6 linked regions of the Oryctolagus cuniculus genome follow. The protein of the gene in region 1 binds, or shares a complex with, the protein of each later gene. Links are inferred from orthologs where the notes say so. Each region holds a gene or a part of one and is shown in the gene's direction. Other genes may lie near its edges. The genes, in order: TGFB3, TGFBR2, ITGB8, ITGB6, TGFBR1 and LRRC32.

Region 1 (3,990 bases):
GCTCCTGGCTTTGGATCAGCGCAGCTCCGGCCGTTGCAGCCGATTGGGGAGTGAACCATCAAATGGAAGACCTTCTCTCTCTCTCTCTCTCTCTCTCTCTCTCTCTGCCTCTCCTCTCTCTGTGTAACTCTTTCAAATAAAACAAATAAGTCTTAAAAAAAGAAAATTATTCCTATCCAAACCATAGAATCTGAGTTCAATATCAGCTCCGCCATTCATAAGCAAGGTGACCTAAAAACAACAACAACAAGGTGGCCCCTCAACTGTACAGTGGTCCAGCAGCGTGCCCTGTGCTGCACAGAGCGTCCCGGCTGGAGCCGGGCGCCCTTTGGGTCTGGCCGGGCTGCAGGGGGCGGCGGCCATTCCCAGGAGAGGGACCCCTCGGACCGACGTCCGGGGCTGCAGGGGGAGTCTGGCCGGCCCTACGCTGTTTGCTCGTGGGAAAAGCCCTCGAGGTCCCGGCGGGACGGCGGAGCGAAGTTGGAGCGCAAACGTCCCCTCCTCAGCCATCTGGGAAACCGGCTCGGGCCAACCGCCGGCTCCGCGCTGGCTGGCGCGGCTCCCACGGAGCCCCCGGCGGGGAAGGGAGGCCGAGACGGCCGCGCCCGCACGCACGGGGGTCCCCCCGCGCCCGCAGCCCCCTCTCCCGCCCCGCGGCCCTCCCGGCCTCCGCGTCTCCGTCACTGGCGGCCGGGCCTCGCCAGAGGGCACCCTCGGCCTTCCGGAACGCGCCACCATTTTTTTTTCCGGCGCCCCTAGAGCTTCTGCAGGCTCGCGCGGCCGCCGACGGCGGGTTTGCCCCGTGAGGAGCGGGGGGCCAGGCTGGCCGCCGCCCGGGACGCTGCCCGAGGGACGGCCGGGGGCCCGGAGGGGCGGAGGCGAGGGGCGCGGAGTGCGCGGGCCGACAGCTGGCCAGAGGGCGCAGGGGCCGGGGGGAGCCGCCAGGGAGGGGGCTGCTCGGAGTAACTTTCCAGAAAAACAGCCAACGTGTAGCAGGAGTGACTCCAAGAGGGGAAAAAAAGTTCAGTGACCACGTCGGACGCAGCGTGTTTTTCAAATGGGCTCGGCTTTTCCCGTGCCTGTTTAAAACATTACAATCGTGCAGCGGCGAAGGAGGCCGGGCCCTGCCTCCCTCCCCCACCCGGGGCGGGAGACGTCATGGGAGGGAGGTATAAAATTTCAGCAGAGAGAAATAGAGAAAGCAGTGTGTGTGCATGTGTGTGTGTGAGACAGAGAGAGACGCAGAGCCAAGTCCAAGGCAAAGAGCGAGAGAGGCGAGAGACAGGGGAAGAAGCGTGCGGGAGAAGCCTGCCGGAGCAGCCCTGCAGTGAGCTGCCTTCTGTTTTCTTTCCTTTTATTTTTCATTTTTATTTTTTTTAAAGAGGAGCCAGGGACAGAAGCCATGGCGGAGGGAGAAGACACGCAGAGGTGCTGGTGACCGTGGGCGGCCGAGGGGGCTCTTGGGGCTGCCAGTTGCACGGGACTCCCCGCGTCTCAGCCAATGAAGAGGACACCAGGCAGCGAGAGCAGAGTGGTTTAGAAAGCCCCCAGCGAGTGTAGACGGAAGGGCAAGCATGGATGGAGTGCCTGGGGGACGAGGGTGCCCCGTGTTGCCCCCACCTTTAGCCGGCCCAGCAGCTGCCCAGCCCTGCCCATCCCCACCTACTCACTGGTGATCTGACTTTTCTGTTTTTCTTTTTCTTTAATATTATCCCTCCCCCCCTCCTTTTTTTTTGTTCCTGTTCTCCCTCCCTCTTCTCCTTCAGGGCAAGGCGAGGGTTTTGATTTTTGGGACCCGGCCACGGTCCTTCCGTGCCCTCTTTAAAATACCCGCTTTCTCCCCATCGCCAAGTGGCGTTTGGCAATATCAGATATCCGCTCTATTTATTTTTACCTAAGGAAAAACTCCAGCTCGCTTCCCACTCCCAGCTGCCTCGCCACCCCTCCCAGCCCTCCGCGTGCCCAGCAGAACCTGTTTAGACACATGGGCGAGAATCGCGGCGCACCGAGGCACACAGTCCGCTCCGCCGGCCTCGGGGCTGCCAGCGCTTCCTGGAAGTCTGCAGCTCGCGCAGTGCAGTGAGTTCATGCACCTTCTTGCCAAGCCTCAGTCTTTGGGATCTGGGGAGGCCGCCTGGTTTCCCTCCCTCCTTCTGCACGTCTGCCGGGGTCTCCTCCTCTCCAGGCCGCGCCGCCCCCCCTGGCCTCTCTCCCCGGCTCGCCCCATGAAGATGCACTTGCAAAGGGCTCTGGTGGTCCTGGCCCTGCTGAACTTTGCCACGGTCAGCCTCTCTCTGTCCACTTGCACCACCTTGGACTTCGGCCACATCAAAAAGAAGAGAGTGGAAGCCATTAGGGGACAGATCTTGAGCAAGCTCAGGCTCACCAGCCCCCCTGAGCCGTCGGTGATGACCCACGTCCCCTACCAGGTCCTGGCCCTTTATAACAGCACTCGGGAGCTGCTGGAGGAGCTGCAGGCAGAGAGGGAGGAAGGCTGCACTCAGGAAAACACCGAGTCGGAATACTATGCCAAAGAGATCCATAAATTCGACATGATCCAGGGACTGGCGGAGCACAGTAAGTCCCGGTCCTCACCAGGGTCACCGCCCTGGAGGGTCTCCACCGGAGCAGGGCGCTGGGCAGAGGGGGCCCGGCAGCGGCCACACCGCGGAGCACCCGGGCTCAAGACATGCGATGTGCCGAGGGGGCCCGGTAGTGGGTGGGTGGGGTGGGAGACAGAGCCCTTCTGGTGAGAGCCGGGGCGCCTCCGGGAGGCCGGCAGCTTGCCGGACTCACATCACATCCTTGGCGGATTTTAAGTCGGAGTTGCACAGGGCTGCCTGGAGAAGCATATGTGTTCTCGCACATGCGATCCTACGGGGAACTGTAAACATATGGGTGCCATACCGGGGTGGGGTGGGGGGCGGCTGGCTCTCTCCCTCGAGCCCTGACAGCTCCACGAGTCTGGAGACTCGGATCCTGTCCCTGCTTCTCACAGCTCGCGGTGACACGTCTCCCTGTCAGCTGTCCCAGTTTCTGGGAAGAACAGTACCTGCCCCCAGATCAATGTATGGGAAGCGCCCGGGAGCCCAGGCGAGAGAGCCTGGGCCCTTCTGTCTGCACCACACACATGACCCACGTGAGCCCACGTGTGTAGGGGGAGGGAGTGCACATGTGTTCACATGTCCGTGGACTTGAGGGCAATGCGTCGTCTCGGGTGGGACAGTGGATGGATTGCTCAAAACGGGCACCTTCCTGGGACCGGGGGAACACATGAGAGCAGGGTTGGAGCTCTGGGTGTGTAGGGGAGGACGGGTGGCCCTCTGTGTCTGCGTGTCACGGGCGGGTGGTCCGGCGAGAGAGCGGGTTGGGGGGAGGGGGTGGCCGCGGGGCCGTGTGTCCGGGAGCCTGTCTTCCCAGGAGCCTGCCGTCTGCGCGCAGGAGCTGGGAGCTGCGGGCCGAGACGCCTGTGTGTGTTTGTACACGTGTGGAAGTCATGTGTGTTTACTGAACGGGGATTTAAAAAACCTCAATACAACAGAGAGAAATTTGGCAGATGTTAAGAAACTGACAGCCCAGGAGAAGAGGAATGTGAGCCGCTCATGGGCCAGAGGCTCCGGCGCAGCTCTGTTTGCTTTTCCTACCAGCAGGTGTCCTCGCCGCCCTGCCGACCTAGCCCAGGCCCACCTGGGAGGTGCGCCGTGCACGCACTGGGGGCGGCAGTGGGATGGTGGGTGGGGGGTGCACAGAAAGGGTGGGAAGAAGCTTGGCTAGAGAAAAGGAACAGGCGAGGGGACTGACACGTGCACCAGCTCTGGCTGCAGGAGGTGCAGAAGGCCCCACTGGGAGCCAGCCCGTGCCAGGTGGAGGAGCTTGTGGTTACTGGCGAGGGGTTCCTGGGGCTGCCTGGGGCGCCCTTCCTTAGGAAGTGGCTACCGTGTGGGGCGGAGGCCGGGGGCCGAGGCAGAGCTGGGGTTCTCTGGCCAGGCC
Region 2 (3,500 bases), on another chromosome or scaffold:
CCCAACCCGGGAGTTTATGTTTCATTCCCGCTGGCTTCAGATGTTTTCCTCTGGGAATCTGCGGCTTAGGAAAGAAATTCTTGGAGTTGGGAGAGGAGCAGGGTTTGTCAGGCAGCTGGACCGGGGAGTGACTGCGGCATGCAGGACGCCGCGCACAGGTGTCTGCTAAAGAGGGCGCCATTGCTCTGGATTGGAAGGAGTTTGGAAGTGGTAGGTTTTCCTAAGGGCAAGGCAGGTTCAGATAAGAAACAGAAATAACAACACCTCTGCTGCAAGACGGAAGGCAGATGGAGCAGAAAGTCTGCCCTGGGCTAGCCTTGACCAAAGCCACTTCAGGGACAGCCTGTCAGCCGTCAGGGCTGACCCAGGTTGCAGTGGGGGAGGGGCCTGTCCTGGGTTTCCGGCAGATCATCTGTGATTCTAAAACTGCAACACTGGTTTTGCATAAATTCAAAAATCAGAAGATTCTAGAGTGTTATGTTTCTTCCAAACTCTGTAGCTTCTTCTGCTGTGTAATTCTTCTAATGAAGCCATTATTCATGATGATAAAATTCTGGGAAGAATTTGCATAATACATTTTTTCTCTTAATGAGATTTGTTGCCCTATTGATTTCAAGTTAATGCTTAATATTTAATTTAATTTACTGCCTGTAATTACAGTGCCAGAATAAAATAAATGTTACTTGTGTACCAACAATAACACTCCACTTTTAACAGGGCCATCAATCAATGCCGTCAATTAGGTGAATTTTACAATTAATTCAACATCATGAACTCACAGGGTGGGGAGGGAGAAACAAGCTTGTAGGTGTGTTGGGAAAGCTGTTGGTGTTAAAAGGCAAGTGGGGCCAGTGCCGTGGCTCACTGGGCTAATCCTCCGCCTTGCGGCACCAGCACTAGGTTAATCCTCCGCCTAGCGGTGCCGAAACGCCGGGTTCTAGTCCCGGTCGGGGCGCCGGATTCTGTCCTGGTTGCTCCTCTTCCAGGCCAGCTCTCTGCTGTGGCCAGGGAGTGCAGTGGAGGATGGCCCAAGTGCTTGGGCCCTGCACCCCATGGGAGACCAGGAGAAGCACCTGGCTCCTGCCATCGGATCAGCGCGGTGCGCCTGCCTCAGTGCGCAGGCCGTGGCGGCCATTGGAGGGTGAACCAACGGCAAAAGGAAGACCTTTCTCTCTGTCTCTCTCTCTCTCACTGTCCACTCTGCCTGTCAAAAAAATTTTAAAAAAAGGCAAGTGGGACAAGTGCTGGCTCTCCAGGACAGGGTTGAGATCTGTCTGTCCCACCTTAGCCGTTGTGAGAGATCGCCATTGGCAATGCTGATCTTTTAGCTGGGAAGAAAAGACTATTTCTGGCTTATCACATTATCTATTTAGCTGTTGTCTGATTTCTTCCCCCAAAAGGATTTGCAATAGTAACAACAAAATTTGCAATGCAAAAAAAAATAAATAATAAGCCAGTGAATGGAAACTTGGCACCCTGCTGGACTCATTGGATGGGGCATTTATGGGGCTGGGATGAACCCTATTAAACAGACTAGAGGCAAGCACTCTTAACATACAAAGACAGCATTTCCCAGAGTGTGATTTAATGTTGGAGAGGAATGGGGCAAGCGAGAGGTCATCCTTGGTAGTTCCTCGAAGCTGCTTCTGAATTCTTCCACGAAACGTGCACTTTACATAAAGAACCCGGCCCACTGCCTGCACACCACCCTGACTTTGGTATTCAGCCCTGTCGGAATCGAGTGGTGTTGTGTGAGCCAACTCTATGTTCCCCAGCACAAACAACTGCAGAGCCAGGACTTCAGGGGGAGGGGGAGGGAACAAGTGGAATATGAGGGATTTCCGGGGTGGAGGCAATATTATGCATGACACGGCAGTGGAAGATCAAAACCAGTGGAGTGTACAACACCCAGAGGGAACCACAGGGTGAACTGTGGATCTTGGTTAGGAATCATGTATCAGCATTGGCTCGTCAGTTGCAATAGGTGCACCAAACAGAGGCCAGCTGGTGACAGTAGAGCCTGTGCGTGTGTGGGGAAGGAGTTATTTAGAGACTTGCTATACTTTTCCATTCAGTTTAGCGGTGAACCTAAAATTGCTCAAAGTAGAATAGAAAGGTGTGACAGGTATTGGGGGCCACCACCTGAGAAATCAAGCGTTGACAATGCTCCTCTCGCCCTGTATCCCAAGCAGGGGGCCCTCGTGTGTCCTGACCTGTAGTGACCAAATCGCACCAGTGCGAATAGGCAGACAGGTGTCTTGAGCCGTTGCCCCCTGCACAGCCCCTGTTCCACATGGAACTGGCAAGGTGCTTGGGCAGAGCATGTTAGTATGCTGCAGGGCCAAATGTCAACAGACCACCTTGCCACCCCCAGAGCCCTCCATTCAAGTGTGCTTTGGACCCCTCTCCCTCTCCAGGGCATACAGATGGTGTGTGAGACACTGACCGAATGCTGGGACCACGACCCGGAGGCCCGTCTCACGGCCCAGTGCGTGGCGGAACGCTTCAGCGAGTTGGAGTACCTGGACAGACTCTCGGGAAGGAGCTGCTCTGAGGAGAAGATTCCAGAAGATGGCTCGCTGAACACTACCAAGTAGCACTTCTGGGACCGGCTGGGCCAAATCCAAAGAAGCCACCACTCTCACCAAAGAACAGCGGCAGCAGGAAGCTGCCCCTGAATTGGCCGATGCTTCCTGGAAAACCAAGGGCATCACTCCCCCTCCCTGTAAGCTGTGGGGATGAGTGGAAAACACAGCACAGGGAGCAGGTGACATAAAGCATTCTAAACCTTTGACATTGTCATAGGATAAGCTGTGTTAGCACTTCCTCAGGAAACGAGATTGATTTTTTTACAATAGCCAATAACATTTGCACTTTATTAATGCCTGTATATAAATATGGAATAGCTATGTTTTATATATATCTATATATGTCTATATCTATATCTATCTATATAAATATATATAGCCATACTCTGAAAAGAGACAAGGAAAAAGATCAAAGATTCCCAGGAAATCGGTTTGGTTGGAGAGCCCCAGAACCGAGCGAGGAAGGAAGGCAGAGGACAGCGTTACCCCCTGACAGACACACGTGGTGTCCTCCCCAAGCTGGGCGACGGGGCACCTGGCGTGAGCAGAGACGCTCCGTGTCTCGGGGCCTGCTTCGGCCATGTTACACTTGCTTTTGCAATCATGATTCCTGGCACGGGGGTTCTCCTCCAGCCCTGGAGCTAAGTATGGTCGCACTGTTTGGGGACCAGTGTTCCTGGGGTTCCTGTGTGCCATTGACGCTCCTGGATTTTGCATCTGGGCTCCAAGCTCCACACAGCTCAGAAACTGCCCCATCTCTGCTAGTTTAAATGTTTCGAGGCCCCGTGTGTCACCCTCATAGGCTGCAGAACAATCAGGGTAAATGTCTGCACCCGTGAACTTGCCCCACCATCTACTAGTAAGATTGTTCTTCGCTGTGTCATTCCCTCTGTACATTTGCTACCCTTCCCC
Region 3 (3,500 bases), on another chromosome or scaffold:
AGTCCTATTATTCTAAGATCAAAAAGAAAGAATTTTCCTTTCTCCTTAATTAGAATATATTATCCCATCTTGGAAATTTTAGAATCTGCAATAGCACATATATTTTTCCTCTGAGCTGTATATTTTAAACTAATTATTGCAAGCTTCTAATTCTGTAGTTCCCTCTATAATCACTCTTTGGATTTTGTTCAAAAGGTATCACACAGCAGTTTACAAAATATTTATGATTTAAATACAGAGAAAACTTTTACTAGCAAAAGATAGTGAGTGATGAAACCCAATTTTTTATGAGTAGTTCTTTCTTTCAAAAATCTCTATTTTAGAAGAAGTATTTTCCTGATTTCTTACTTTTTTCCCCCTCTTCTTTGCCTGTATCCCCTTTCCCCTCCACTTTCAACCAAGTAACATAAGCAGTTTGACTCTGAGGAATATTCATTTGCCCTCCCTCCTAATTACATCAACCCTAAGTTTTGTTCCACTGTTCAGAACGGCAGGGGCCACATTACCATACACATCTGTTAATCCTTAACAATCCTAAAAACAAAAACTATTTCAAGTGCAAACCAACTGTATTGATTTTAATGAGACCGATTCTACTTCCTTATGCATAAATAAACTTACATTTAGATTTTATGTATATTTAATTACATATATGCTAATTAAATAGATTTCTGTTTAAGGCCACAAAATATACAACCTTCTTATGTAACAAATGACCTGAAGATGGTAAGGCAGGTCAACTATAAGTGGACACATCAAACCAATTGTGCTGTGCAAAAAGAAGAAATAGAGCAAATGGAAAAAGTGGCCGAGGGAAGGGCATTGTAGTTTCAGGAGGGAAACCAAAGCCTGGCGGTCCTCTTCCTTGGTTCTGGAGTAACTCTTCCCTCTGGGATAAATATTTGACCTCATCTTGAAGATCTAAGATTTGAGAGTGAGACGTCTAAATCTTTTGTCCTTGACTGATCATAGTAAACCTCATATTTTCCTCCTTTGGCACCCTGTATAAAAGAAAATGTGACTCTGAAACTTAGCACCCTAGAAAACAGGAAGGAAAGAAAGCTGTTTGGTTGAGTATCTCATCTCAGGGTTTTACACCAGCGGAGCAGAGCCCTTTGCTTGGGTTTACTTGCTCTCTCTAGCACCAGGTATTCAATAATCCCACATTTTGGGACTGAATTCGGACCAATGCTCTATTCTTTCTCAAATCTGCTAAGAAATTAATCATAATGGTGGAGTAGATGCTTTAAATAGGCTTAGTCTCTTTAATAGTGCAATATTAGCAACCATTGCATCCTTCAACTCCCTAGTTATTAATTAATTTATTAATTATTAACAATTAAGAAATAAATGCCTGAATTAACTAATAATAATTAGGTATTAATTAAGAAGCAAATGACCTTGAAAAGGGAAGCTGCATCTACTTATAAAAGAGATTCATGTGTATTTTACAAATATTACTCATGTCTTCAAGATAGTATATTATCAATTCAAATCTTAGCAGTTATAATATTGGTGATAAAATAATCAATGTATGTAAATCTATTTCCTCAATCTCAATTTAGGTGCTCTTCAATGTAACAGTGACAATGGAAAAATGCAGTGTCACAGGAGGGAAGAACTATGCAATAATCAAACCTATTGGTTTCAATGAAACCAGTAAAATCCATATACACCAAAACTGTGGCTGTGAGTGTGAGGCCAGCAGAGGAGGTGCAGCGAAGTGTGCCGAGGAAGCACCCCTGGATTCCACGTGTCCCCAGTGCCAGGAGAGTCAGTGTCGTCAAGAGGAAGCACAATCTCCCAGTCAGGGCTGCAAGGCCCACGAGGACCAACCGGTGTGCAGTGGCCGAGGGGTTTGCGTTTGTGGGAAATGCCTATGTCACAAGATGAAGCTTGGAAAAGTGTATGGAAAATACTGTGAAAAAGATGACTTTTCCTGTCCCTATCATCATGGCAGTCTGTGTGCTGGTGAGTATGGGTGGACACAGTCTGTCTTTGTGGTCACGAAGACACTGGCATATCAGTGAGAGTCCCTTACGTCTCATCTTACAAATGACCACCACTGAGTCTGAATTTAATTTTCAATGTTTCTTAATGTGTGGGATTAGGAAACAGCACAAGACCTATTGCCTCAAATGTTGCTATTTATATTTTAGCTTACTTCATATAAGAAATACTTTAAAATAAAAACTAAAGTTAATTGTCATTTCCATGTATTCCTTGATCTCATAAAGATAGCTATCTGAAAGGGAAATGGCTGATGATGGCTGACCCACCTTCTAGAAGAATCAGATATTCTAGAAGGACCTGATTCATTCTAGTTAATGGTCACTCCCCCCAGTTGACTCAGAGGGTTTTATTTCTATCAGGATAATGAGAACTGAGCTATAAAAATACACTTTTCATTCATTGGAAAATTCTCAATGCATGATTGTAGCTGGAATTATAAATCTGCATAATTTAAATCTCTCCAGCCAATTTTTGAAAACCACTAGCAACAGAATTGCCAAAGGACAGCATTCTTTAGGAAAATGCTGTTTTACTAAGTAATCTGGAAGATTAGCTCCTGAGGCCACACACAGACCAAACAGAAAATGAAGTTATCACAATTCCTATGGGCTAATTAGGTTTGCCGCCACCTAGAGGTTAGATTAGAGAAAATTTGTACACATTTGGAAATGAAAGCAAAGTATTATTTTTAAATGACTTAAATAAACAGTCATTTCTGTGGAAACGCCCCTGTAACAATGTGCTGAGTCTACGTATTATAAAAAAAAAAAAAAACCCTGGTAATATTTTCATTTAGCAAATATGTGTTAAATTATTGATGAGCAGAAATAATTCATTGTCCTAAGGACATAGAAAGTAACAAACTTATAAAAAATAAATTTTATATTCTTGTATAAACCAAAAATGGTCCTACAGCATCTAAATATGTGATGGCAAGTTGCCTTTATATCCTGTTACATACATAGAATATTTTAAATCCCAAGCATTTATTCAGCTATAACTGGCATTGTGAGTAGGATGAATTAGATTTCTAGGTGACATAAGAATGAATCAGCAGTTTGTCTACTGCATGTTACAGAGATGAGAAATATTTTACAGAGGGGAGAAAGAATTTACTGAAATCATCTCCTACAGCATCCAGTCTCTCAAACAAATTCCAGATACAATGAGGATCCCACTGTGATTACAGTGACATGTCAAAAATTCAAGAACTAGCCCTTCTGTAGAACTCTGGTGCTCTGAGCTGCAGGCGGGGAGGATCTGCTTTGAATTGTCTGTGTTGAAGTGCACACTGCAGGGCTGACATGAGTTTTCGCCACTCGTTTCCTCTGCAGGGAAAAACACATGTTCACAGGTCAGCTGGCTAGGGTTTGGCACACAGCCGACAGAGGAACAGAGTCTGACAGACGTCTGTTTGGCCTGGAGCTCATTAGTTTTACACTGGGCAGATCCTGCCGCCGTGGACCCTGGGGCAGCCACTCTAAGGT
Region 4 (4,138 bases), on another chromosome or scaffold:
CCTCAGCTGCTGAGAAGAACTTACACAGTCTATAATTAGTTTTCTTCTCTGCAGGTTTCATGTGTTTGCCTAGAAACACACTTTTAAAAGATAATCTCCTAGGACATAAGTGCAGCCACAAAGAGGCTTGTCTAAGAGCAGACAGTTCAGAAAACGACCAAGTAAGTATTGGATTCTTACCTATTTGCAGTTCCTACAAATCCCAAAACAACTTGCTGAATACGCTGGGATGGGGAGGGAGCTAAAGGGGTGACGATGACTGTATATGGATTTTTGAATGGTGAATCTTTTATTTAACAAATAAATCCCTATCTCCTATGTGCCAGGTACCCATGTGAGTTAGAAGCTGTAACAGCACCTTGGAAAGAGAATTTGGTCCCTATACTGAGGAATTCAGAATCTGTGAACCATTATTTCTGTTTCCAAACTTGCTGTTGTGAGATCATCTTATTCTGTTATAATTTGATTTTCACATATTGTATCTATTTCTGATATCCCTTTTTAAATTTATTTAGTTATCTTTAATTTATTTGAAAGGCAGCAAGAGACAGAGACAGACACAGAGAGATATTCCATCCTCTGGTGCACTCCCAATTGATTGTAGCAGCCAATGCTGGGCCAGGCCAAAGCCAAGAGCCTGGGTCTCAGTTGGGTCTTCCACATGGGTGGCAGGCACCGAAGTACTTGAGCCATCACCTGCTGCCTCTCAGGGTGTGTATCAGCAGGAAGCTGGAATTGGGAGTGGGGCTGGGATGGGGACCCAGGCACTCCAGTAAAGGATATGGGTGTCCCAAGTGGCCTCTTAACACTGTGCCAGTGTCTGCTCATAGTATCACATTTTAAATACAATATATTTTTATGGGAAAATATCTTTCATCCAATTTGAAAAACCCAGTGTTTTACTTTCCCTAGCCTACCTTCTAATTTGATCGGAAAAAATTTATTTTTATTTTTCAGAGTTCATTTCCATTTTCTGCAAAAGATTTAACAATGGAATACAAAAATCTCAGGTATTTTCATTTATGAGCTCCTTACATATAACTTAAATACTTGAGTTTCATTTCACATAGTTACTATTCACATTAAATGGAAATTATTGTAGACACAATCATACTTGATTTGCTCTGACATTTCATTAATCAATATTTCACTACAGATCTTAAACTTTCTCTGGACTACAGAGAGACTAACAGAATTTACACAAAAATTTCTTCTGAATGAATTTCCCCACCTTCTTGGTGATCGTACACCTGCCTTCCTTATAAGGAGAACAAGGAAGTAAATCATGTTGAAGTTGCTTTCAAATACAGCTTTTCTTCTTTACCTGTCCAGGTAGCCTCTGTTTTCATTTCAGTCTTAATGAAAACTTCTTAACTTACATCTCAAGTTTCTTTTCAAAGCAGCGTAAGTAGTATTTAAATTTTGCACTGCAAGAAAGAAAGACTTTCACCGATATTCCGCTTTAGTCTTGTAACATGGAAGGTAATTCATTTTTTAATCCGTCTGCACAGCGAGAACTGAAGCGAATGGGGATTGAACTGCTTTGCCTGTTCTTTCTATTTCTGGGAAGGAATGAGTGCGTACAAGGTAAGACCTGAGTTCTCTGTAATGTTGCTTTCGTGGTGTGCTTGACAAACCTGTCATTTGGCTCAGAAACTAGATCTGAAGTCATTTTTTATTTGATCTGTTTGACTGCTCTTTTGCCACGGAGAGAACACTTTAACAAATTGCAGGCAAACACTGAGCTGTTCCCACAGTGAATGCTCCAGGCTTAAGGTAAATAAATACAAAGGTTGCATAGACATTTTAATAAGGAGAATTAAACAGCATTACTGCACAATGAGACTTCTCAATGCCACCGTGACAACCATTTTGGAAACGTTTCTAGTTTATTGTATAAGCCTTTTCACTTAGGAGTAATCTTGCGGGACAAAAAGGATTTATTTCAAAAGCAGAAATATCACATTTAAGAGTGAAGTGCGTTTTATGAGTGTAAATAATTTTAAAAATTTATGTGTCATAGAGTGAATAAAAATAATTAGCATTCTGTACTTGTGAATGCTTAGATATTTACATACCATAAGAAAAAAGAATAATTTTTCTCCTATAAGACATAGTTTCAATGGGATAGATATAAAATATAAACTCTCAGGTGAATTGCTAACATTTGGGAACTGATCTGTAAAGACTGAAACAGACTTTGTTATGGTTTTATTCAAATAATTTAAGAGGGGTAAGTCTCATAAACAAAATGAATGAAAGTGTTCTTAACCCTTTGTTTCTTGCTGGGTGGAACACAGGTGGCTGTGCCCTGGGAGGTGCAGAGACCTGTGAGGACTGCCTGCTCCTTGGACCGCAGTGCGCCTGGTGTTCTCAGGAGGTAAGACAACTGACCTCAACCTGTTTTTAAAAATTATATAGTTACACATATGTTAATTTCCTCAGGGTTGGCTCTGCTAATGTCCTGCCTATTGGAGGATTATATGGGAAAAGCATATCAAGAAAGGACAATATAAGCATTGGTGGTTCAAAATGCCATTCATACAATCACTTTGAAAACTTATTTGTGGAAGGGGTGGATGTCATGTTATTTTGAAAAGGGACTTAACTCAGAATTATTTATTTAAAAGAGGTTCCTCCTCTTATTTTAAAGTCATTTCTAACTGATTATATCTTATAGTGGAGCCCTCTAAATAATCAGAAATGATGGAGGTGATATTTCCTAAAGTCAAACACATTTGACATTATATATAATATTATACATTATTGCATTCCATCTCATAAGCAAGATCCTTCCTGAACCATTGCTAAGTTCTAAGAGAAGTGTTTGGGGTAAGCATTACTGTTCAGATATGGTCTACTTCTTTTAAAAATTACATTTTCATGACCTGAGTGACTATATCACACAGATAACAAAGCCCCAAACAGCCATTCCTTATCTGGTCAAACTGAAAACTATGTGAATGTAGTTTGAAATTGATTGGGAAATATATAACAAGACATCCAAAGTCACTGCCTGTCCCGTTACCCCATAGAGCAATTTGTCAATGACTCATGGAAAAGGGATATGCATTAGCTTTCTGGATCTTAAAACAAGTCTCTGCCCACTGGATCTCATAAACAGAATTGAAACATAAATCAAACCATACAAATGCCAAGTTCAGCAAGAGCTGAGTAGCATGCTCAATGGGAAACAAAGCTAGACCTGGCTCCTACCACACCAATGCCTTGACTGCCGAGGCCGCAGAATTCAAGGAAAGTGTGCTTTTGTGAGCTCATATATCAAAAGCAGTATATTAAAACATACAATGAGGGCAAAATTCACATTTGAGGGGATATTGACTCTCTTAAAAAGACAGAATGGAGTCAAAGACATAATACGAATCAGTCTAGAATTTTATTTAAGTGCACTGTTTTAGCATTCGTTTAAGAGAGGGTCCTGTGTTACCATGGATAGCTTTACTTGCGGATGACACTTGAGAGTCAAATTATGGTCAAAATTTAGGTCAGATTATTTTTTTTTTTTTTTGACAGGCAGAGTGGACAGTGAGAGAGAGAGACAGAGAGAGAAAGGTCTTCCTTTGCCGTTGGTTCACCCTCCAATGGCCGCCGCTGCAGCCGGTGCACCGCGCTGATCCTGGCAGGAGCCAGGAGCCAGGTGCTTTTCCTGGTCTCCCATGGGGTGCAGGGCCCAAGCACCTGGGCCATCCTCCACTGCACTCCCTGGCTATAGCAGAGAGCTGGCCTGGAAGAGGGGCAACCGGGACAGAATCCGGCGCCCCAACCAGGACTAGAACCCGGTGTGCCGGCGCCGCAAGGTGGAGGATTAGCCTATTGAGCCACGGCGCCGGTTTAAATTTAGGTCAGATTATTTTAAGAAGTCACTCTAAGAGTCAAAGTAGCTATCAGGATATTAACTGAGATAACTGGAGCAAAAAGCAAATTAAGTCTTCGTTTACAGCAGATAGAAAGTAAATTCCTTGGTTAACATCACCTCTGATCCTTTGGTAAAGGCTGTGAGTGCAAGGTCACTGTGGTGAGGGGGAGTCTCAGGCCTCCAGCAGCCACTGTTAGCCTTTGTAACACCCTGGGAAGTTGGAATTCGCCATGCCTGCCCCAGAGCCTCAAATATGCATAG
Region 5 (4,187 bases), on another chromosome or scaffold:
GTATGTGTCACTGTCTCTGTGCCTTTCAAATATAGACAAACACAAGCCAGCAAACAGAATTCACTGACTTGCTAGAGTGTCCTTGCAGGGACAGGAACCCAGCGGGTCTCAGATCCCAGCTCCCACATCCCCATCCTTCCCCTTCACAGCTCACCAACTTCCTCAGGCGGGTACCATTCTCACCTACTAGCTCTCAAGGAATTTGCAAATCCCAACTAGACGGCTGGTTCTGATTCTGATTACCAAGCTTTATTTAATTCCAAATTCCAATCGCTCAGAAAATTCACATTTTCTCCTTAAAAGGTCCTTCGGAGAATCGTTCTCCGTGCTGCGTAACACAGCCTCCTTGGCTGTGTTTGTGTCTGAAGAAGGCACTAGTCTGACAGGAAGAATTACAAATCTGGAGTTAGTTTTGGCATCCCAGAGGGAAGGTGGGTGGAGCGTCTCACAGTAAATTAGGAATTCAGAATGAAAACGTAGTGGAGTTTATTTGGGTTTTCAGTGACACCTCAGAATTATTACACAGGCGAATCAGAGACAGCTCAAGGTAACGATGATTGCTCCCCTCCGCCCGGGAGGAGCTGGGGCTGAGAGCGGAGATTCCCTTCCTTGGAGGGTGGGATGCAGGCTCTCCCTTTCCAACCTGAATCAGGAAGTCGAAAAGAGGGTAGGAGAGTGGCTTGGGTCCCTGTTCTGGGCGTGATCTGGAGGGAGGCTATTTGAGGTGTGTGTCTGGATTCGGGCTCTGGGATCTAAGATTGAGATCTGAGAACTTTCTGGGCCTGGAATTTGAGGAGGGGGCTAGGTATGGGGTGTACGCCAAGAGCAGGATGAGTCGCATGTGATGGGCACTGAGAAAGGTGATGTTGAAACTTGAGGCGTGGGTCTGGGGAGGGGACGCTGAAGTGGATGCAAGCGCTCCGCGACAGTGCGGATGTGGGCGGCTTGTGTTACCGACTGCAGGTGCAGGGCTGTGGATGGGGGGGCCAGGGTGGGGCTGGGTCAGGACCAGCTCTTTGGTGTCTAAGAGGAGGCCAGAAGAAAAGAGCGGCGAGCGGCCGCAGCCTTTTTTCGAAAGCTAGCCAGAAGCAGACACACCCATCGCCCACTGGGGCTCGGGAGAGCCAACCCCCACCCGGCCTCGGGAACCCGGAGCTCGCTCCGGCTGGGGAAGGGGTCTGGCGGCACCGCCCCCGGGGAGTGTGTGGGGCGTGGCCGGAGGCCGGAGCCCGCTGCCCCGGATTGGTCGCCTGGCGGGCCCGCAGGCGGGGCTCCCGGCCTGGTCCCGCTGGGCCGCTCGCAGCCGGCGGGGAGGCGGGGCCGGCGGGGGCCCGGCAGCCAATGGGCGCGCGTCCCCGGAGCAGTTACAAAGGGCCGGAGCGAGGCCGCCGCGGCGGCGGGGGAGGTGGGGCGAGGCGAGGCTTGCTGAGGCGAGGCGGCGGCCGGGCCGGGCCGGGCCACAGGCGGCGGCAGCGGGACTATGGAGGCGGCGGCCGCTGCTCCGCGTCCCCGGCGGCTGCTCCTGTTCGTGTTGGCGGCGGCAGCGACGCTGCTCCCGGGGGCAACGGGTGAGCCCCGGCGCGGCGGGCGGGCAGGCGGGCGGCCGCGGGGGCGCGCGGGCCGGGCCCGGCCTCTGGCTCGCTCCTGCTCTTTCTCAAACATGGCGCGGGGCCGGGGGCGCAGGTGGCGGCGCCGGGGCCCGGGCTGGGCTTTCAGGGGCTGGTGGCCGCCAGGCGAAGCTGAGGCGGGCAGCGGAGGAGCGGCGGGGGTGTGTGTCCGAGTGCGCGTGGACGTGGCCGACAACCCAAGGCCGCCCGGGTTCCGGGGGCCCCCGGAGGAGAGGCGGCGTCAGGCGGAGCCGTCCGAGGTCGGGGGCTGCCCTCTGGGGCGTGAGTGGGCGAGGGGCGGAGGGTGAGGCTGGACCGGACCGGCCGAGCCAGGCTGCCCCGGCGCGTCCTCCAGGTCACTGCGTGGCCTTATTCCGGGCACCCCTGCCCCCAGGCAGGACTGGGCCTGGGGCTTCTTCCGAGTCCCGGGGCGGAGTTGGGGTCCGGGGAGGCTTCCCGGGCGGGCTGTGAGCCCTGAGCCTCGAGGGCGTTCCGGAGCGATGCGAGGGGCCGCCGCGTGGTGGAGACCCCCGGGGCGGCAGGGCTGCGCGGGCTTTGGCGCCGGCCGCGACCCCGAGCCGACCTGCGGGGAGCGGCTGCCTCTCGGGCCGGGGTGGCTTGGCAAGGGGAGCTGCGAAGCTTTGTGTTGAGGAGGCGGCGGCGGCACGAGATGCGCGGATTGTTTCCCTCTCCGTGCGTCTGGGAGTGTTGAAGCGAGTCCAGCCGCCAGAAGGCTACGGATTGTTTTCGTAGTAGAAACTTGCACGTTTGCTCACTCCGCGGGGTTGGGAGTGTTTGAATGGAAACGCTTTTATTTCTTTGAAGGAGCGTCGCTCCTGATGTTCCTTTTCTTGAGTGGCAGTTAGCAGCTTGAATCAGACGTCTGTGTAGCCGCTTTTCAAGTGAGACTGTTTGCCCAGCTTTTTTGGTCGCTAAACCAGGTTGGAGTAGGTGGTGGGTGCCTACCCTGGCGAAGGGTGGAGTGCCTAACTCTGTTAGAGACTGAACTAAAATATAGAAGCTAAATAGAGAACTTGGGTGAAAATGCAGCGAAATGGAACAAGTGTTAAACAAAAGCAAATTCAAGACCGGTGCCCAGCTATCCTAATAGCTACTGTCTATTAAGAGCCCACTGTGATGCAAATGCAAAAAGCACGCCAAAGCGTATTGTCCAGTCTCTGCCACTAACCCTTAAGGGCTGCTGGCCTTTGCCCCGTTGGTAGTTGGGAAAGCTGAGCTGCAGAGAGGTGAGGACCAGTTACTAAGTGCTGAGGTTAGGATTTGCTGTCAGCTCTCTCAGTTTCCAAAACCCATACACCAACTATCTGGCACAGCCCATTTTTTCTTTTTCCATCATCTAACAAGCAGTTGGTATTCATCCCTTAAGATGTTGGCCTCACAATTTGAGTGTTAGGTTGACTTCTTTCTACATCCTGACACATTCCTGAGTCCCTTGCCATGGGCCTGTATTAGAGGAAACAGAGGGTTTTGACCTGGCCTCAGGAGGGAGGCAAGATAACTGTGGACAGGTGGGATACACTGATACAGTTCTGCATCAAGCAGGCAACTTTCCACACCATTATTAACTTGAGTGACGTAGTTCAGTCACTGTTTTCCACCTAGGGTAGCACATACTCGACTTAATTGGAGGGACAGAACGCTGCTGGGTGGTGCCCTGGAGTTGACTGTCTGTGTGGGCACACATACAATACAGAGCTGGCCTGGATGCTGGTTACTCACAGCCCAGACCACCCCACTTTCCCGGCGCCCTGCTTAGGTGTGTTCGGGTTCCGTCTGTGCCTTCATGCTTTCTGAGGCAACCCAAGAGTTCTTTTTTTTTTTTTTTTTGGCTTCCCTTTTTAAGACTGGTGGTTTTTCCTTATTGTCTGGGGATCTGTTTTGCATTTCTGTGCCCAGCTTCTGCTCTCTCCAACATGGATTTCTCTAGAGCTGATTCCTTGTCCCTAGTGCAGCTTAGTTCCACCGTGCCTGCATTATACCCCACGCGAGAATGCTGTTTTGCTTCCTTTCTGCAATTTCATGACTTTTTTTCTTTGCAAACAGTCCGACTCTTTGTGCTGATGCCTCGAGTACCCCCTCCTTCCTTGGTGGATAGCCGTCAGCCTAGTCCTGCCGGTGATCTCCAAATCTGGTTGCTTTCTAGTGTTCCTCTGTCATGGCTTTCCTGTGAGCTGCTGCTCAACCAGTCTTCCCCTGCCACTTCACCAGGGCTTACCGGAGCCCCATGTGTGTGCACTAAGAACGATGCTCGAGGCTTCTGAGTTGGGCCATCTCTGAGTAGCCACCCCACTTCTCACTACTGCAGACCTTCGGTTCCCATGACTTCCTTTTTCCCACTGACACTCCTGATGGTTCAACCTTTTCAATACATAATTAATTTTGCCCCTTTTTGACGGGTGTGGAGACACAAATTTCTGGTCCTGACTTAATGTACTAGTTTAATTTTCCTTGAACTCTGTCCCTGGACTGTGTAGCACTTACAGTTACTTAACTGTACTTACGTGTAGTGCTCAGGGACAGTACAGGCACCCTGAGGACAGGGCTTCTGCTTTCTATTTC
Region 6 (4,079 bases), on another chromosome or scaffold:
GCCTCTCTTGGGTTGACACGAGTCCCATCTACACAGGTCTACCCCTGAGGACTGGACAGGAGCAAGAAGAGGTGACAGGCCAGCACCGTGGCTCAATAGGCTAATCCTCCACCTGTGGCGCTGGCACCCAGGGTTCTAGTCCCAGTCCGGGCACTGGATTCTGTCCCGGTTGCTCCTCTTCCAGTCCAGCTCCCTGCTGTGGCCAGGAAGTGCAGTGGAGAATGGCCCAAGTCCTTGGGCCCTGCACCCACATGGGAGACCAGGATAAGTACCTGGCTCCTGCCATCAGATCAGCGCGGTGCGCCGGCCGCAGTGCGCCGGCCGCGGCGGCCATTGGAGGGTGAACCAACGGCAAAGGAAGACGTTTCTCTCTCTGTCTCTCTCTCACTGTCCACTCTGCCTGTCAAAAAAAAAAAAAAGTGACAGCTGTGTAGGCTCCAGGGAAGCCAGTGTCCACATCGCCCAGCTTCAGCCCAGTTGGCCCCAAGGCCCCACTCTCGGGGCTGGTGGCCGGCAGGGAAGAGACGCACTGTGGAAGAGGAGTCTTCTCTGCTTGGACCAGGGCCTGGAGGAACGGCCACCTAGCAGAGCAGAGCACAGGGATGTGGCAAGGGCCAGACGCCCACGATCTTTGGCGCCAAGGCCATGGCGCAGCATCTGGACAGCAGCTAAGCCACCAGGCGCGATGGTGCCCCAACTGGACAGCGGGCGCCCGAGTGCCAATGCCAAAAAGCTGCGCGACGGTGGGGTTGCCGTTTAGCCTTGCTAAGGCTCAGTTTCTGCAGCTGCAAAGCAGGTCCCCGCGGTCTCACGCACTTGGCTTTCAAGCCGCAAAGCTGCGGAAGTCGACGGCCCAAGAGCTGATAGAGGAGGACGGTCGCGGGCGCTATAGCTCGTTTAGGTGGTAGAGTGGCCGCCAGGCCGCGCCGCAGTGCGGGTCACTTCCTTCCGCGTCCCCCACGCCGGCCTTCCCGCTCGCCCCGGGCGAAGAGCATCGGCGCCGCCGACAGCTGGAAGATCGCGGCCAGGCCGGATTTCCTTCGCGGACCTGCGGCTCCCAGAGCCACCAAGCAAGCCCCCAAGCCCTCGGGGCTGGGGACCGCACGTGCGGTTGCCGACGCCGGTCTCGCCTCGCCCCCTCGGAGCGTGCTGGCGACCCTGCTCCCCGCTGGCGCTCGCCTCGTCTTCCCCGCGGGCTTCCAACTCGGAGCAGACGCCCCGGCCTCCCGACGCCGACGCCGCGGGGGCTCGCGGGTCTCGGGCGGCCGCAGGGCGCTAGGACCGCGCGGCGCCGCCGAGGGGGCGGGGGCGGGCCGGCGCGAGCGGGCTTTAAATGGGCGCCGGGGCCGCCCCCTCGCGGGTCGGCTCCCTTGGGGCAGCGGAGCTGCCGAGCGCCTCCTCGGGCCGGGACCCGGGGCCTGGCGCCGGGCCGGGCAGGACCGGGGCAGGTGTACGCACGATGCGCCGGGGCGACCCGCGAGCGGAGCGCCGGCCGCGCTGAACCAGGTAGGAGCCGCCGGGGGCCCCACGGAGCGCTGTCCCGCGCCGCTCGCCGGCGGGGGCCGGGGCCAGGGCCCTCGCCCTCCGGTCGCCCCTGAGGCGCGCGCCGAGCCGGACTTGACCCTCCTTCGGTCCCCAGGACGCCTCGGGGCGGCTGTCGCGGCGGGTCTTTCCCGCCCGGGGCTGAGGTCGGCGCGCCCATTTGACAGCTGGGCAAGCCGAGGTAGGAGGCTCAGGAACACCCCGCTGGCATTTGAATCCAGGTCTCCTGCAGTCTCTACTGCCCGCCTCCAGGGCTCGTCCCAGCGCCCCTGGGCGCGCTCGCGCGTCTGTCCGCAGCCGCCGAGGTGCGGGGAGGGGGGTGGAGTGGGAGCGGGGGAGGGAGGGACCCCCACCCCGCCCCGGGCCGCCTGGAATTCTGCCGTGGCGGCCGCATTCCTCTGGGTTAAGGTCTGATCCCCGTGGGACGCACACGTCTCCAGAGAGGGCTGGCCTCGCTGATTCACTGCGGCCCTCCGGGGACCCTCCTCAGCCACTCAGTCTGACCCGGGGCAGGGGAGAAGCCCAGACTGACTCTGTGAGTAGGCGGCCGCTGTGCGTCTGTGTGGGGGGCCTTGGCCGGGGTCAGCCCGGGAGCGCAGGGCCTGCCTGGCCCGGGGTTCTGATCCTGATCTCCGGCTGGCTGCCTGGGTGACTTTGGGTAAGTCATGTCTCCGGGGCAGAATGGGCACAGTTCTCTAGGGGGCTGGAGAAAGCACAGCCTTGGGGTCCTGCATACCTGGGTGAAACCACTGGGAGCTGGAAGCCCTGGGGGCCAGTTCCCCCAGCTTCCTGAGCCTCCCTCTTCTCATCTGTGAATTGGGACGCACAGCAGTCACCTCCTTGGGTGGTTGTGAAAGTTAAATGAGATGATAGAACTCTGGTGCTTAGCAGAGTGACATCCTTATGTAGTAGGGTGGGCTTGTGACTGCGGGCATTGCCAGTGTCCTCTCTGTCTGTCTGTCTGTCTCTCTCTCTCTCTCTCATATCCTCTGGCTCTTTTCTGAGTCAGCAGTGAGCTGCCCTTTCTTCCCCCTTCCCCGGGGCTTCCCTCCTCTGCATGCCTCACCTGGGATGCTCAGCCCTGTAGCTCATCGTCCCGCCTGGACACCTTCCTGGCCACTCTCTGTCTGCTGTCACTGTGGCTGGGGCGGCCAGCGGGGCAGAGTGGTGGAGCTTCCCGGTGAGCCTGGGTTCAAGTGACCTGTGTCCTCGGGCACTCCCCAGAGTGGAGTCCCCGTGTGCTGCGAGGCCCTTCTGGGTGTGCAGGTGCCCGCCTCGGGAAGGAGGAGACAGGGCTCTCCAGGCTCGGAGCTGAACCCGACCTTGCCCTTCCCTCGCACTCACCACTCAGTCGGCCGCCGTGGAGCCCAGCCCCGCTCGGCTACCTGTTGACTGAATCTTGGGTGAGCCCCTGTCCCCTTCCCATCTGAATAAGTGCTTAGGAAGTGACGGCTGCGAGGGGAGGGGGACTGGCACTGCTGGCAAGGGGAATGGCAGGGCAAGGTGCCGAGGCAGCAGTGACCTTGGCCGAGTCTGGGGTTTGGTGGGGAAGGGAAATGGTAGATGGAGCCAGAGAGGAGACTGGGTGAAGCCTGGCCCCGACTGGAGGTCTTCCAACAGCAGAGTCACGTAAGTGACTTTCAAATATCCCCCTGGCTGCTTTGAATAAGGGGTCAGGTGGAAATGGGGAAGAAGTGACTGGGGCTGCTCCTGCCACCCTCAAGTCCTGGGGCCAGGGATGGAGGAGGGAGCTGGGCAGACCCAGGGTCACACCCACGGATGGAAGCAGGTGTGTGGCAGGGAGGGGAGGGAAGGTCGTGGAGGGCTGCTGTCACCATGTCACCCACACTGTCCTCCCTCGGCTGGCCTGTGCTGTGAGAGGGGTCTCTCAGAGGACAGCATGCCTCTGCCTGGGTGTGTTCCGGGGGAGTGGGGCGAGCCCTGCAGTGCATGGTGCTGTGCCCACCGGAAGCTCAGAGGTGTGGAAAGCTCCGGGCCGTGGCCCAGACTTGGGAAACCAAAGAGGCTTCTGGAAGGAGGTGACCTCGAAACAGAGGGAGAGGGGGTGGTGAGAGAGGAGGCTGGGGAGCAGGGCTGGCCAGGTCCAGGAGCCTCTACCTTGGACAGAGCAGACCCCTGCAGGTGAGAGGAGCACCATGGTGGTGGCAGGGGCCTGGGGCCGGGGCCCGGAGGAGGGAGCCCGGGGATGTGGCTGCGGCTGGAAAGACTCAGCAATGTCCCTTGCACGTTCCAGCAGGAAAGAGCCCCAGAGCAGCCATGTTCATTGCCACTAGAGGGTTCAGCGGTCCAAGTCACAGCCCTCAAAGGCCCTGCCGATGTCCTGTCTCCTGACGCGGCTCACGGAATCCCAACTCAGCGCTAGTTCACAGAGCACCTGCTGGGAGAGGCTTGAGAGTGCCAAGGTTAAGGGCGCAGAGCCAGGGGCCACACTGGCGTGGCCTACCACTGGCTAGCCGGGTGACCTTGGGCACCTCTTGGGTGGCTTGGGCTCTCTGAACCTCAGTTTCCCCTTCCGA

The links.
Region 2: the proteins of TGFB3 (region 1) and TGFBR2 are in contact, whole or in part, in a crystal structure (PDB 9B9F), measured with the Homo sapiens proteins. The link is inferred for Oryctolagus cuniculus from reciprocal best matches to the Homo sapiens genes TGFB3 and TGFBR2. Residues at the interface, in NP_001316868.1 of Homo sapiens: Arg325, Lys331, Trp332, His334, Tyr390, Tyr391, Val392, Gly393, Arg394; in NP_003233.4 of Homo sapiens: Leu50, Phe53, Asp55, Ser72, Ile73, Thr74, Ser75, Ile76, Glu78, Val100, Asp141, Glu142.
Region 3: the proteins of TGFB3 (region 1) and ITGB8 are in contact, whole or in part, in a cryo-EM structure (PDB 8VS6), measured with the Homo sapiens proteins. The link is inferred for Oryctolagus cuniculus from reciprocal best matches to the Homo sapiens genes TGFB3 and ITGB8. Residues at the interface, in NP_001316868.1 of Homo sapiens: Gly262, Asp263, Leu264, Arg266, Leu267, Lys268; in NP_002205.1 of Homo sapiens: Ser156, Ala157, Ser158, Asn161, Arg206, Gln210, Cys211, Tyr214, Leu216, Ser247, Gly248, Asn249, Ile250, Asp251, Thr252, Glu254.
Region 4: the proteins of TGFB3 (region 1) and ITGB6 are in contact, whole or in part, in a crystal structure (PDB 4UM9), measured with the Homo sapiens proteins. The link is inferred for Oryctolagus cuniculus from reciprocal best matches to the Homo sapiens genes TGFB3 and ITGB6. Residues at the interface, in NP_001316868.1 of Homo sapiens: His259, Gly262, Asp263, Leu264, Arg266, Leu267, Lys268; in NP_000879.2 of Homo sapiens: Ser142, Ala143, Ser144, Asp147, Pro196, Cys197, Ser199, Ile200, Tyr202, Cys204, Ala234, Asn235, Ile236, Asp237, Thr238, Glu240, Asp271, Lys355.
Region 5: the proteins of TGFB3 (region 1) and TGFBR1 are in contact, whole or in part, in a crystal structure (PDB 9B9F), measured with the Homo sapiens proteins. The link is inferred for Oryctolagus cuniculus from reciprocal best matches to the Homo sapiens genes TGFB3 and TGFBR1. Residues at the interface, in NP_001316868.1 of Homo sapiens: Ala301, Leu302, Asp303, Asn305, Tyr306, Tyr350, Leu351, Ser353, Thr357, Thr360, Leu364, Leu368; in NP_004603.1 of Homo sapiens: His39, Leu40, Thr42, Lys43, Phe55, Met70, Ile78, Phe84, Val85, Lys91.
Region 6: the proteins of TGFB3 (region 1) and LRRC32 are in contact, whole or in part, in a cryo-EM structure (PDB 8VSB), measured with the Homo sapiens proteins. The link is inferred for Oryctolagus cuniculus from reciprocal best matches to the Homo sapiens genes TGFB3 and LRRC32. Residues at the interface, in NP_001316868.1 of Homo sapiens: Leu24, Ser25, Thr26, Cys27, Thr28, Leu30, Pro347, Pro349, Tyr350, Leu351, Arg352, Thr357, His358, Val361, Leu364, Leu368, Ser375; in NP_001122394.1 of Homo sapiens: Ala110, Ser135, Tyr137, Ser160, Val184, Met186, Asp187, Ile188, Asp190, Phe193, Leu202, Leu204, Arg206, Asn207, Ser208, Thr210, Cys211, Ile212, Ser213, Asp214, Phe215, Ser216, Leu217, Cys227, Asn228, Ser229, Lys254.

Annotation. Positions count from the first base shown.
Region 1 is NC_091451.1:21,954,245-21,958,234, reverse strand, and holds the start of TGFB3 (transforming growth factor beta-3 proprotein), read left to right. Parts: upstream 1-1,190; 5' UTR 1,191-2,087; coding exon 2,088-2,577; intron 2,578-3,990. UniProt on the Homo sapiens protein: Transforming growth factor beta-3 proprotein: Precursor of the Latency-associated peptide (LAP) and Transforming growth factor beta-3 (TGF-beta-3) chains, which constitute the regulatory and active subunit of TGF-beta-3, respectively.
Region 2 is NC_091435.1:167,306,905-167,310,404, forward strand, and holds part of TGFBR2 (TGF-beta receptor type-2), read left to right. Parts: intron 1-2,417; coding exon 2,418-2,597; 3' UTR 2,598-3,500. UniProt on the Homo sapiens protein: Transmembrane serine/threonine kinase forming with the TGF-beta type I serine/threonine kinase receptor, TGFBR1, the non-promiscuous receptor for the TGF-beta cytokines TGFB1, TGFB2 and TGFB3.
Region 3 is NC_091447.1:12,468,257-12,471,756, forward strand, and holds part of ITGB8 (integrin beta-8), read left to right. Parts: intron 1-1,565; coding exon 1,566-1,971; intron 1,972-3,500. UniProt on the Homo sapiens protein: Integrin alpha-V:beta-8 (ITGAV:ITGB8) is a receptor for fibronectin. It recognizes the sequence R-G-D in its ligands.
Region 4 is NC_091434.1:81,764,368-81,768,505, forward strand, and holds the start of ITGB6 (integrin beta-6), read left to right. Parts: upstream 1-1,338; 5' UTR 1,339-1,475; coding exon 1,476-1,587; intron 1,588-2,300; coding exon 2,301-2,380; intron 2,381-4,138. UniProt on the Homo sapiens protein: Integrin alpha-V:beta-6 (ITGAV:ITGB6) is a receptor for fibronectin and cytotactin. It recognizes the sequence R-G-D in its ligands. Internalization of integrin alpha-V/beta-6 via clathrin-mediated endocytosis promotes carcinoma cell invasion.
Region 5 is NC_091432.1:202,740,863-202,745,049, forward strand, and holds the start of TGFBR1 (TGF-beta receptor type-1), read left to right. Parts: upstream 1-1,387; 5' UTR 1,388-1,480; coding exon 1,481-1,568; intron 1,569-4,187. UniProt on the Homo sapiens protein: Transmembrane serine/threonine kinase forming with the TGF-beta type II serine/threonine kinase receptor, TGFBR2, the non-promiscuous receptor for the TGF-beta cytokines TGFB1, TGFB2 and TGFB3.
Region 6 is NC_091432.1:67,614,941-67,619,019, reverse strand, and holds the start of LRRC32 (transforming growth factor beta activator LRRC32), read left to right. Parts: upstream 1-1,279; 5' UTR 1,280-1,506; intron 1,507-1,887; exon of another isoform or gene 1,888-2,200; intron 2,201-4,079.